Linked DNA regions of Kluyveromyces lactis. The protein of the gene in region 2 purifies or fractionates together with the protein of the main gene of each other region. This does not show direct contact. Links are inferred from orthologs where the notes say so. Each region holds a gene or a part of one and is shown on either strand. Other genes may lie near its edges.

The links. The genes of interacting proteins can lie anywhere in the genome.
Region 1: the proteins of GID8 (region 2) and GID12 purify together in Saccharomyces cerevisiae (affinity purification with mass spectrometry; 3 studies listed by BioGRID). This does not show direct contact. The link is inferred for Kluyveromyces lactis from reciprocal best matches to the Saccharomyces cerevisiae genes GID8 and GID12.

What each region holds. Positions count from the first base shown.
Region 1 is NC_006042.1:560,196-566,119, forward strand, and holds GID12 (Gid12p), read left to right. Parts: upstream 1-2,063; coding exon 2,064-4,094; downstream 4,095-5,924. Other genes in the region: KLLA0_F05775g (aldo-keto reductase superfamily protein), read left to right, coding at 75-1,004; KLLA0_F05797g (uncharacterized protein), read right to left, coding at 1,198-1,719; SNA4 (Sna4p), read right to left, coding at 4,258-4,671; KLLA0_F05896g (zinc finger CCHC domain-containing protein), read right to left, coding at 5,810-5,924. UniProt on the Saccharomyces cerevisiae protein: Regulator of the GID E3 ligase complex. Modulates both assembly of the substrate receptor GID4 into the GID E3 ligase complex and its activity toward its substrates.
Region 2 is NC_006042.1:1,568,755-1,573,741, reverse strand, and holds GID8 (glucose-induced degradation complex subunit GID8), read right to left. Parts: upstream 2,453-4,987; coding exon 1,391-2,452; downstream 1-1,390. Other genes in the region: ERG29 (Erg29p), read left to right, coding at 579-1,301; GAT2 (Gat2p), read left to right, coding at 3,375-4,550; DNA cross-link repair protein PSO2, read right to left, coding at 4,694-4,987. UniProt on the Saccharomyces cerevisiae protein: Component of the GID E3 ligase complex recruiting N termini and catalyzing ubiquitination of proteins targeted for degradation.

The DNA of each region.
Region 1 (5,924 bases), about 1.0 Mb from region 2:
CATTCAACACTAATAAGCATTCCACACCGTCGGAAACCACATTCATCAGGTTCACCAGGCTTATAATTAATATCATGACTACTCAAAAGTTCTTTACTTTGTCTAATGGAAATAAGATTCCTGCAGTTGCTATTGTAGGTACAGGTACTGCTTGGTACAAAAGCGAGGAGACAGATGCCACTTTCTCCCAACCATTGGTTGATATTGTGAAGAAAACATTGGATACTGTCCCAGGTGTTGTGCACATTGATGCTGCAGAGATATACAGAACTTATCCTGAATTGGGTGCCGCTTTGAAGGATACAAAGAAGCCAAGAGATGAAATCTTCATCACTGACAAGTATTCTACTTTGAAACAGCTTTCTGAGAACCCTAAAGTTGCCTTAGAGACATCATTGAAGAAGCTCGGTGTTGATTACGTGGACTTGTATCTATTGCACTCTCCTATAATTAAGGAAAGCAAATTGGATGTCGAGGCTAATTGGAAGTATTTGGAAGAACTATACAAGTCTGGAAAGGCTAAGAACATCGGTGTTTCAAACTTTGCTGTAAAAGATTTGGAGAAATTGCTTGCAGTGGCAGAGGTTAAACCGCAGGTGAACCAAATTGAATTCTCTCCATTCTTGCAAAATCAAACTCCCGGTATTGTTGAATTCAGTCAAAAGAATGGTATTTTACTTGAGGCCTACTCACCATTAGGTCCTTTGCAAAGAAGACCAGAAGATGCTGATAAGCTACCTTTTTACCAATATATCGCTGAATTGTCAAAGAAGTATAACAAGAGTGAGGCTCAAATCTTGTTATCATGGGTCTATGAGCGTGGAATCTTGCCAGTAACTACGTCTTCGAAGATCGAAAGGATCCAACAAGCGCAAGATATCTTTAGTTTTTCTTTGGCTAATGAGGAAGTCCAAAAGATCACTCAATTGGGTTTGCAACATCCAGCTTTGAGATTATACTGGACTGACGTATACTCAAAATACGATTCTGAATCCCAGAAGTGATTATTCCATCTCAGTATGTTATGTCAATGAACACTGGCTCTGAGAGCACACATCTTTTTAATAGGCTTGTTAAACATCTGTTGACTATATTTACAAGTATTGCTTTACGTGATACTATTCCTTTAGGATAATGTCGTATATACATATTTTCGTTTGCAGAATGAGGTTCATATAGGAAACTTTTAAAATATAGTTAAGGCAAGAACTTCCCTTTCTTCAAGCTTTCCACAGCTGTGGTTGAAATATGTCGGAATCTAGCGGGCCCCAATGCTGTCCCACCGTACCATCTTGTAACAACAACTAAAACATTAGCAATATGACTTCTTTCTAACAAGGTTAAAAGTCTTTGTCCTGCACCAGCCTCACCACAGTCATTTGATCCTTGTTGTATATTCTTTAACATTGCCGGCCCTGTCAGTTCACCAGGCACTGTCAATGAACCCCTTTTCCTCTTCTTATTTCCTTTCTTATTGTGCTCGGGGGGTATAATATCTGCCGTTCTCCATGCATACATATGCTTGTGCGTTGCCTTTTGGACGGCCTTATTTTTTTCCACTAATACCTCCAGTAACTTATCAACTTCAGACAGGTTCTTGATAGCATGGCACCTTGCTTGAAACTTGGATTTTCTATCTACCAAAACTTCGGATTCGTTCCACCCTATACCTGTCATGTATCTTCTGGTAATTCTTAGATAACTATAAGATCGTAGCATAAGATGTCGACCTTTACCATAAGTATCAAATCGCCGATGTATATTAATTTCTGTCCACCTGCTTGAATAGATGTGTGACCTCCTCGATTGAGCACGCTCCGCATGTGTTCATGACAGTATTGGGGTCTAGATAACCTTCATAATTTTACGTTGTTGTGTTCTCTGCTGCTTATGAATTTCTATATCGTCTGTCCTTTTATATCGAAGATTTAGCGATGAGGTTTTAGTCTTTCAATTTCACAAAACTCAATAGATGAACGTTATTCAGTCGAACTAAGACGTTTAAGTGAAAACACCCAGAAGGTGGAACGCTATCCTTATAATATCCAGCCAAGATTACCTGAATGCAATCGAATTTCACCTTTTTGGTTTCACAACCATCATGTTCGAAGACAACTCCTTCAGGTTACCGAGCTTTCCAATGTAAAGATGACAGGATCCATCCTTTGAAGGTAAACACCAAAAATCGGGCTGCTGATACCAATAGCATAATACAAAAGTTCTGTTATCTACGACCAAGGAGTATGCCTATTGTACCGACATCAAAATATCTGCACAATCAAGAGCATTCAGACTTTCTTTTGGTTGCAAGGAATAATGGCATAATCGAAATAATAAAGGACTACAATTTTAAGGTAACCAATAACGTTCCTTTACGACCAGATTTTCTACTATTTTGCGTACCAATGACTTCGAGTATAACTACAAATGATACAACCATTGTTGGTTTAGAGTATAAAGATAAGTTTCTATATGTATGTTCTGCGGTTGGTGACATATTTGGGTTCATATTGAACTTACCAGACGATTACGTTCAAGACGAAGAATTTCAAGCATCACCTTCCTATAAACGGTATAGAGATTCTTTCTCTTGGAGATCGGACATAGTACAATCTTCTGACGCAACAGCTGCAGAACGGAGCTTAAAAGAAATCACTCGATTCAGAAAAGAACATAGTTGTGGCCACATTTGTTATTATTGTTATCCTATCAATGAAGACGGATTCTTCCATGAAACGATAAAACAATGGTATCCCGACCCTGTACCGACATTTTCAAATTGTTTTGTTACGTTTTTGAGGACAGATGTTAGCTCATTTCATATCAACCCGATGGACAGATTCAGTGTCATCACCGTGGCACCGCAGACGCCGTTAACAATTCACAAAATACTCTTACCTGAGGTGTATACGACATTCTTCTCAGAATTTGTAAAGCTTAAAGATGAGTACTTCTCCAAAAAGCACAGAAGGGTTTCAGAACCTTCCAGTTTTGATTTTATGTCAAGAGCGGTTCATGGGACAGCTTTTCAAGAATATTTGAAGAGAGATCGTTCAAGCTTTGTCATGGAACAAGATGTTAGGGTATGGAGGGGAATGCTGGTTTGCGATATGGTTTGTGAATTCAAATGCTCCTCCGTTTGGAGGCAAAAACAAGGTAATATGAAAGATGGCTTACATGAATTGTTCTTTTATGACAAAAAACAAGAAGCAAATAATCGCAATGAAAGCGATTCTGTTGCTAGAAATGAAACTGTAGTCGACTTGGAGCTGGATTCCCAATCATTCTCATTACTTGGAGTTTCTACCGAGATATTAGATAATCATACCCAACACCAATCTAATATAACACAAACTGAACGGTTTCTAAAATTCTTGCGGAAACAGACGTTCCCTATAAATTTCCAAGTGGTAAAGACAGTAAGCCTCGACGGTGAAACAAATTCGACAGGGTATGAAGCTGCAACTTCTTTTCTTACAGATACTTACAGAGATATGGATGTTGTTGTTGTGGACAAATTTTTAAGTGTAAACGCTTTTCGTCCTAAATACGTGGACGAGCCTCTGATGAAGTTAGATTCAATACATGACTATCTGGAAGTAAATGAAGAAGACAGAGATGCTCATGTAGCTTTAAATAATCTCTCCTCATTCATCAAGTTTTTCATGCTTACTGATTCCCTTTGCATGATTTGGGATATCAATGGAATATTGTTGGTGGATAGATTTCAGCTAAGAAGTACAAGGAATCTACTACATAACGATGTCGGGGCTGTTAAAGTAATAAACTTCCGTGTAGGAATAGTGAATGATATTGGGTTAGTTTTAAATCAGTTCAAACAAGATGGTTCTGACTATTATATTGAGTTTTATTCCATCTTAACAACGTTAACGGGAGATATCGCACTACTGAGGGGTGAATTCAAAGTTGGCCAACGATTAGGTACTATGAAGATATTAGATAGTTTGAGAACGCAACAATCGGATAACTTTGTTGACCAAATATTGATTACAAACTACTCACTATCCAATAAAAGAGACGCTGGAATGGTAATTCCTGAGGTTTTTAAAATGAATAAAAGATCCAAAACTTAGAAGTCTTTCAACAATGTAAGTCAAAATAATCTATACGTTTACGTGAATAGCAGCTAATATAAACCCTAATTAATATAATGGTAATCCTTGTAGAAGATGTACAACAATCATGAAATAGCAGAAGTAAAAAAAAAATGAGGTGCTGATAATTAACCGCCCCTAATCATACACTTTCTGTGTATGGTGGGGGAGAACCCTTTGGCACATCCTGAGCGTAGTTATTTGGTTCATATCTTAGAGGAATCTGAGTTCTTGGCAATAGAGGATCTTCTACACCAGTGGGTTGATGAGAAACGGTCGTTACCGCAGATGGGCTTCCATATCTTTGTCCGTCATTCCACCCTTGCTCATAATAATAACGTGTTTCGGTATCCGTCCTTAGCGGTGACGTGACGGTAATATAATAAAAAGCATGAATCATTCCAGGGAGGAACCCAAACATAGTTAGCAACACGTTTAATAGTAAGTCACTGGAACATAAACCCGATCTCAATCCCACGGCAATCGGTGGGAATATTATGGCAACAATATAAAGTATCAAATCTGATACAGTACAGCAGATACAGCACAGACACATGTTTCAAAAGCTTTTGATAATACACTGCTGGGAGTATAAGGGAAACCTACGAGGCTCTTCTTCTGTATCCCAATGTTGTGAATTGAGATGATTAATAGGTATGATTCATTGTTCAAATTTTGACAATTATCAACTAAAGAAAACTATGGGAAACGCCATACATATGACAAAAATGATTGAAGCCACATAGACCATTTGTGAATGCTTATACCGAAACAAGTACAGGCTTTTGAAAGCCAGTAGCGAATGTATATCTTGACACCCCTTTGACAAGCTATATCTCGTTATCTAAATCAACATGGAAGGAAAATGAAGTCACATGGTAAATTAAGTATACACGTACATCTTAGAATTTTTGTTTTTCTGTAGTGATATGCTTTGGATGATAGTTGATTGATTAATCGCCTGATGAGGGATCGTTGATATCAAACAATATAACGAATATAATATAATAATCTATTTAGTTAGATCGTTGAGTTTATGCGTCCTTGCTCTTCTTTCTCTTGTTGCATCCAACCTCCCCAAGAGGTCGCAACATAGCTCAGCCTTTTATACTCGACTTATATACTCGGATGGTCGTCAGACTTCGTCATGGCAACTCGTTGCCTCCATGCCCTTGTAGGTCCTGTGCAGCTACCGTCCTCCACGCGCACTCAAGACCATCACGTGACAGTCTATGATCCATCTATGCCATCCCTCTGGATACCACAGGATCCATATGCCCAGTCACTGACGTCTTGGAACTCTGCCGTGTGCTGGCTAGCCCACATGACCTCTCGTCTGGCTTGTCCTCAGTCTATATTACGACATTTCCAACAAATTTGGTTCCTTGGCCCAGTTGGTTAAGGCACCGTGCTAATAACGCGGGGATCAGCGGTTCGATCCCGCTAGGAACCATTATTTTTATCGCTCTCTATTTTTGGCTCAGTTTATTATTTGACAAGTACTAGTGTCTGTGGAAAGCCTAATATATAAGCCTCGCGGAAACAGCAGCCGAGAAAACGCAGTTGGCTTGCAACTATTTTTTCATCTTTCCATAAATTACGCTAGTTAGTACAATATTGTTCAAAATCTCTGCTATTCTTCTGAGACGAGACTTGGTTACACATATATATGTATTTGGGGTATCTATATTGAATCACCTTCTCTTTTTGAAACCGGAGTAGGAGTTATACTTTCTATATCTATCGTTTGAGGGTTGATATGAGCTGCTCCCATAACGAGGAATATTGACGTTAGGATTTCTTGGGAAA
Region 2 (4,987 bases):
GAGATATCAGGAACGAAGACTGTAGAATACAAAGACCGGAGAGCAGGAACTCTTTCATCGTAAGAAGCAGACAAGCTGCTGTAACATAAAAAAATGGAGCATGAATGTAGTTCAGACCATTATGAATTGATAAACTGGATATTTGACCGATAAATAGAAGTATGCAAATGTCAGAGGATATTTTAAATGACGTTATCCTATTGCCTGCTTGAGCCTAATGATTGTAAGACGAGTTCTTTTATAACAGTTAGAATTTAGAGTCAGGAGTTTAAGGTTAGATATATCAGAGTAATCCAAAAGCATACCTACCATTTAACTAGAGTCAGTTTCCGGTCGCTACAGAAGCTGGCCACATGAATTGTTTGAAGAATGTATGTGCATTCTCGATATGTATGTTGTTCTCGTTTAACGTCGGGGCATGAAAAACAAGCTTTGTAAATCGATAAACTTAGAAGAAACTACACACCTTCAAATGCAATAAAACGTAAAGATATAGAAATCACTTGAAGTGGACTAGTGCGAGCTAATAAAGGTGACCTGCAAACTAATATAACTTTATAAGACCTGAAAAGGCCAATATGGAGGAATTACGCGCGACGGTGCTGCGTCACTATTTGCAATTGGAAAGCATTATGATCGCTTGGATCAGAAAAGTAAACTTTCTTAAACAATACACTGATGACCCGCTAAGTGCCCGAATAACACTTTTTCTTGTGGTGATGGGAGGATTTGCTCTTGTGAATGAACTCTACATAACAATTCAAATGAGTGCCTTACAAATGGATACATGGGAACAATTGAACAGCACTAAATTGGACGAAGATTTTATTAGAAACCATCGATTCATACATGACGATTCGTACCATGCCACAGAATGGTTTGATGAAAAATCCGGTCTCATAATCGAGGAGTTCGAATCGAGGGAAAAGTTCTTTGCCAAACCTGTGCATGTCGCTCACATATACGTTAGATGCCAAGTTATCGACGAAGATACCAAAAAGCTTCTGTTGGATAATCCAATCACATTCCACATTGAATTCTCACCAGAAGAATTCGAAAATGAAAAAAGACCAGAGTTTGGTTGTACATTAAGGCTATTAAAATCAAAACTTTATCACTTCTTTAAAGATGGTCACTTTTATGATCAGTTCAAACAGCCAAGCAAAACCTTCACCATTACCAAAAATGTAAAAATCTACAACACCATGAGCGAGGAACTTCCAAAAAACCTCGACGATATTCAATTGTGTTTCTTAAAGATGGAAACTGGTGACACTATAGACTGTGAGTTTTTGGTGTGAAAATTGCAAGCTGCCGTTAAATGCTTGAAAACATAATGTGAATATAGGGAACCCATGCATATATAGTATAAAAGATTATAGATTTTGCACTAAATCACTCCTTCAACCCTCGGAACACCAACATCCGAACTATGCAATTGGTTTTCACACCAAACCCAAAGTTTCATGATTTGTACCAATCTAACGTCGTTAGGGATATAATAAGAATGCAAGTTCTCACCTAACTCTTCAAAGATTTCACCTTGTATGCGACTCATGTCGGAATTGGTGCTCATAGAACTTCCCTGCTTTTCTTCAATATGTGCTAGCTCTCCGGTAAGCCTTTCTGTCGTGATAGATTCCCTTGGAATGGATCGTATAACGTTTGTTAGAGTGGGAACTCGATTTGATTGGAAGCTGGATCCTAAGATGTCAGGTAAACCAGATTTTTCGAGTTGAGAGTTTATCCTCGGTAATATCGATTGCAAAAGCTTTCTGTTCACTAGATCAGCTACTTTAGTTCTCATATTTAAGGAATATAGCTGTTTCAACTTCTTTGGTAACTTAGCAGAAGGACTCGAACCATCCTCATCCGATAACGGGAAGAGAAGAAGGGTCATAACTAATTCGACTTCCTTCATATACTCTTTTTTGGAGCTTGCTTTCAAAGCAAGTTTATCCTGAGCATAAGAGATAAGCTCTAATATAAACTGCTCCTGATCGTTAGGGTCGCCCTTGGCGTTGTGGGAACGAATCATTTCAATAAGGTTCAACAACAATAGCTTGAAGTTCAAATCTTCATCTGTAATATGGTCATTCAAACTTTCGAGTACCTCTATTCCAAATACCTCGGTAATCTTTTCCATAGCTAGTAAAATTTCACCCTTCTTGATAAGTTCCTTGATGTATGCCCTTTTCTTAATCATATATACAGAGTTGAATTCTTCAATGTCTTTGTTGGAATTCAAAAACCCAAGCTCCTTAGCCATGCGGATACTAGATTCCTCATATGCCATCACCACAAAATAGTTCAATAATAACATTGGTATTACCGGCTCATTATTCGACAACTCACTGTTGCTGCGATCATAGGGATTGGCGTCCTGCACCACTTTCATCCATTGTTCTCTAGTGAAAGATTTCTTCTCATAGGTAGATTTAAAATTGGTCATCGTTTGTATGAAGCAATAAGTCTAGGGAAAACTAGATTGGCTTATGCTTAGCGCAAATAGTATAGTACCACTCTTTCTTTCAATATTAGGGGCTAAGGAAGTCTCACTTTCAACTTACAATTAGGTGCTCATTTTTTTGTTTTTCTGTTGATAATGCCCAGTTTCTTTACTAAGTGATGTTAAGGTTCATTTCGTGAAAAACCTTTGTGAATAAATAAGGGAACAGGCCTCTGACGACGAGGAAATGGGACAGATCAATTCTGAAAAGAAAAGGAGTTCATGTAGATATCAAATCGTGGTTTGTAGCTTCAGATAACAGTAATCGAGAAACTTCTCAATTTAAATCTTCTTGAATCTGGACTCTTTTTTTTGTATCTTTCAAGTAGAGGGAAACGATTCATGAGATGTCACTCATAGCAGCTATAGTCGACATTTTACGTAGTAATATACAAAACAGTAGACATATCGAGGGCATAACACAGATTTAAAAACTTTACAGTTTCAATATTCATTGGTTTAGGATCAATAATGAAATGGAGGAGGCAATCCAAGCCGTTTCTATATTCTAAATTGAAACTTACTTAGATTCTGATGACAAAAAAGTGTCAAATCAAATTAAGGAACTGAAATGATCTATACAAAAATGAAATGATATAAATATATGCGTACTTTTCCGAGTTCTTCGAACATCAAATAAGCCAGGTATTTAAGGCCAAGAGTAGATTCGAAACTAACAGAGAGGTAACTCGTTAGATTGCAATCTCATTATCATTCAATTGAAATAACAAAATAGAACCACAGAGCCAAACCAAATTTTTTTGCCAAGACACAGTCGATATCATTTTGAATAATATATTCGTTCAACATTGCTTATCACACATACACATAAATAGACATACGGCTAGTCAGTATAATTGTTATTATGACATTCATGGAAACTATGACAGCGTCGCTGGCACAAAAGGGGTCCCAAAGTCCCAAATCTGGTTCTATTTCATCATCTGCAACTCCTACATCGAGAACACCTCAATCATTATCCCAAAGTGTCAGCTACCATAGTGTTGCTTCCATCCCAAATCTATTGAACTACGACAGGCAGAACGATTCGAGTATTCGGACAAACAAGACGTCACAAACAAACATTACCGTTTCAACGACAGGAAATTTTCTTTCGTCGTCAAATTCGTCACCGCAAATTAGTCCTCGTCAAAGGGACTACCATTACGGTGGTCACTATAGAAGTGGATCCCTTGATTTTTTGGCTGACACTGCGATCGACCAGGATATGAATCAAGAAGAATTCAAACGGATTTTGAAAAGACTATCAGAGTACAATGAACAGTTGACATTTCATTTGCTGACATGGAGTTCCCAGAAGATTAAGGATGTTTTGGTCAATGATCTCACCCAACTTTCCAACGAAACAAGATCTATGTTAAAGGTTACGAATAGGTTGTTAGAGTTGAAGAACATGAACGATTGGAACAGGAAAAAACCGCAACTCCCTAGTATTAATCAGCTTAGAAACGAGCTACAAAAGCCAATGACAGAGTTTCAATTCCCAATGAGACCCAGGAGTAAAAATGTTTTCAACGTCACAGTAAGAAAATCTGAAGTAGAAATCCCAACCGCAGCTACCAACACTAAGATGGAAAAGCCGGTCATTCAAGTTGTTGGACATAGAGGCAGTAAAAGCGATAGTTCCATCGGAGGAACAAGTCATACTTTTAAAGTAGATAAAGTCAAACCAAGGAAACGCAACAGCGTTTCACAGCAGCAACGAATGATTAGCGTAGCGGCAGGAGATGGTACCGAGTCATGTAAACACTGTCATGAAACCGTTACTCCCGAATGGAGAAGGGGGCCTTACGGTAATAGGACCTTGTGTAATGCATGTGGATTGTTCTACTGCAAGTTAATCAGAAAATTCAATACAAAGGATGCTAACATTCTCATGCATTACAGAAAGATGAAGGGTCCAGAGGACAGAAGAGTTCCTGAAAGCTTGAACGTTCCTCGTTCTTTTATAGAATCATTAGAGAATAATGATAACCTTGATGATAATTTCAATATTAAATCAAAGACAACGCCTGAGTGAAATTGTCAACGAAGACATTTAAAACTGTAATAATAGTAAAAGGATATTTTGTTTAACATTTTTTTCATTCTCATGGCGGACAGACTAATTTTTATTAAAATAATAAGTAGTTTAATGTAACAATGAGGATTATATGCCATTGTTTATTGAGATCCTTTGTATGATTTCCATATTTCGAACCATCGTGCCATTTCTCTATATTGAGAAAGGTTCACAGTAGGAATAATCTTATCCCACTTAAGTTTTGTTGAAAACAGACATAAGTCCTTAAATGAAGAATGTTCGGAATACGGGACGTTGAAATGGTAGATTTTGCCCTGCGAACGTTTTTGTTTGGTGAAATAATCAATGGCAAATGGTGTCTCTCCCGACAATGTGTCCTTAACCCAGTTTTTCCTTTCAAATTCATCCCAAAGTGTATATGACTTATCATATTG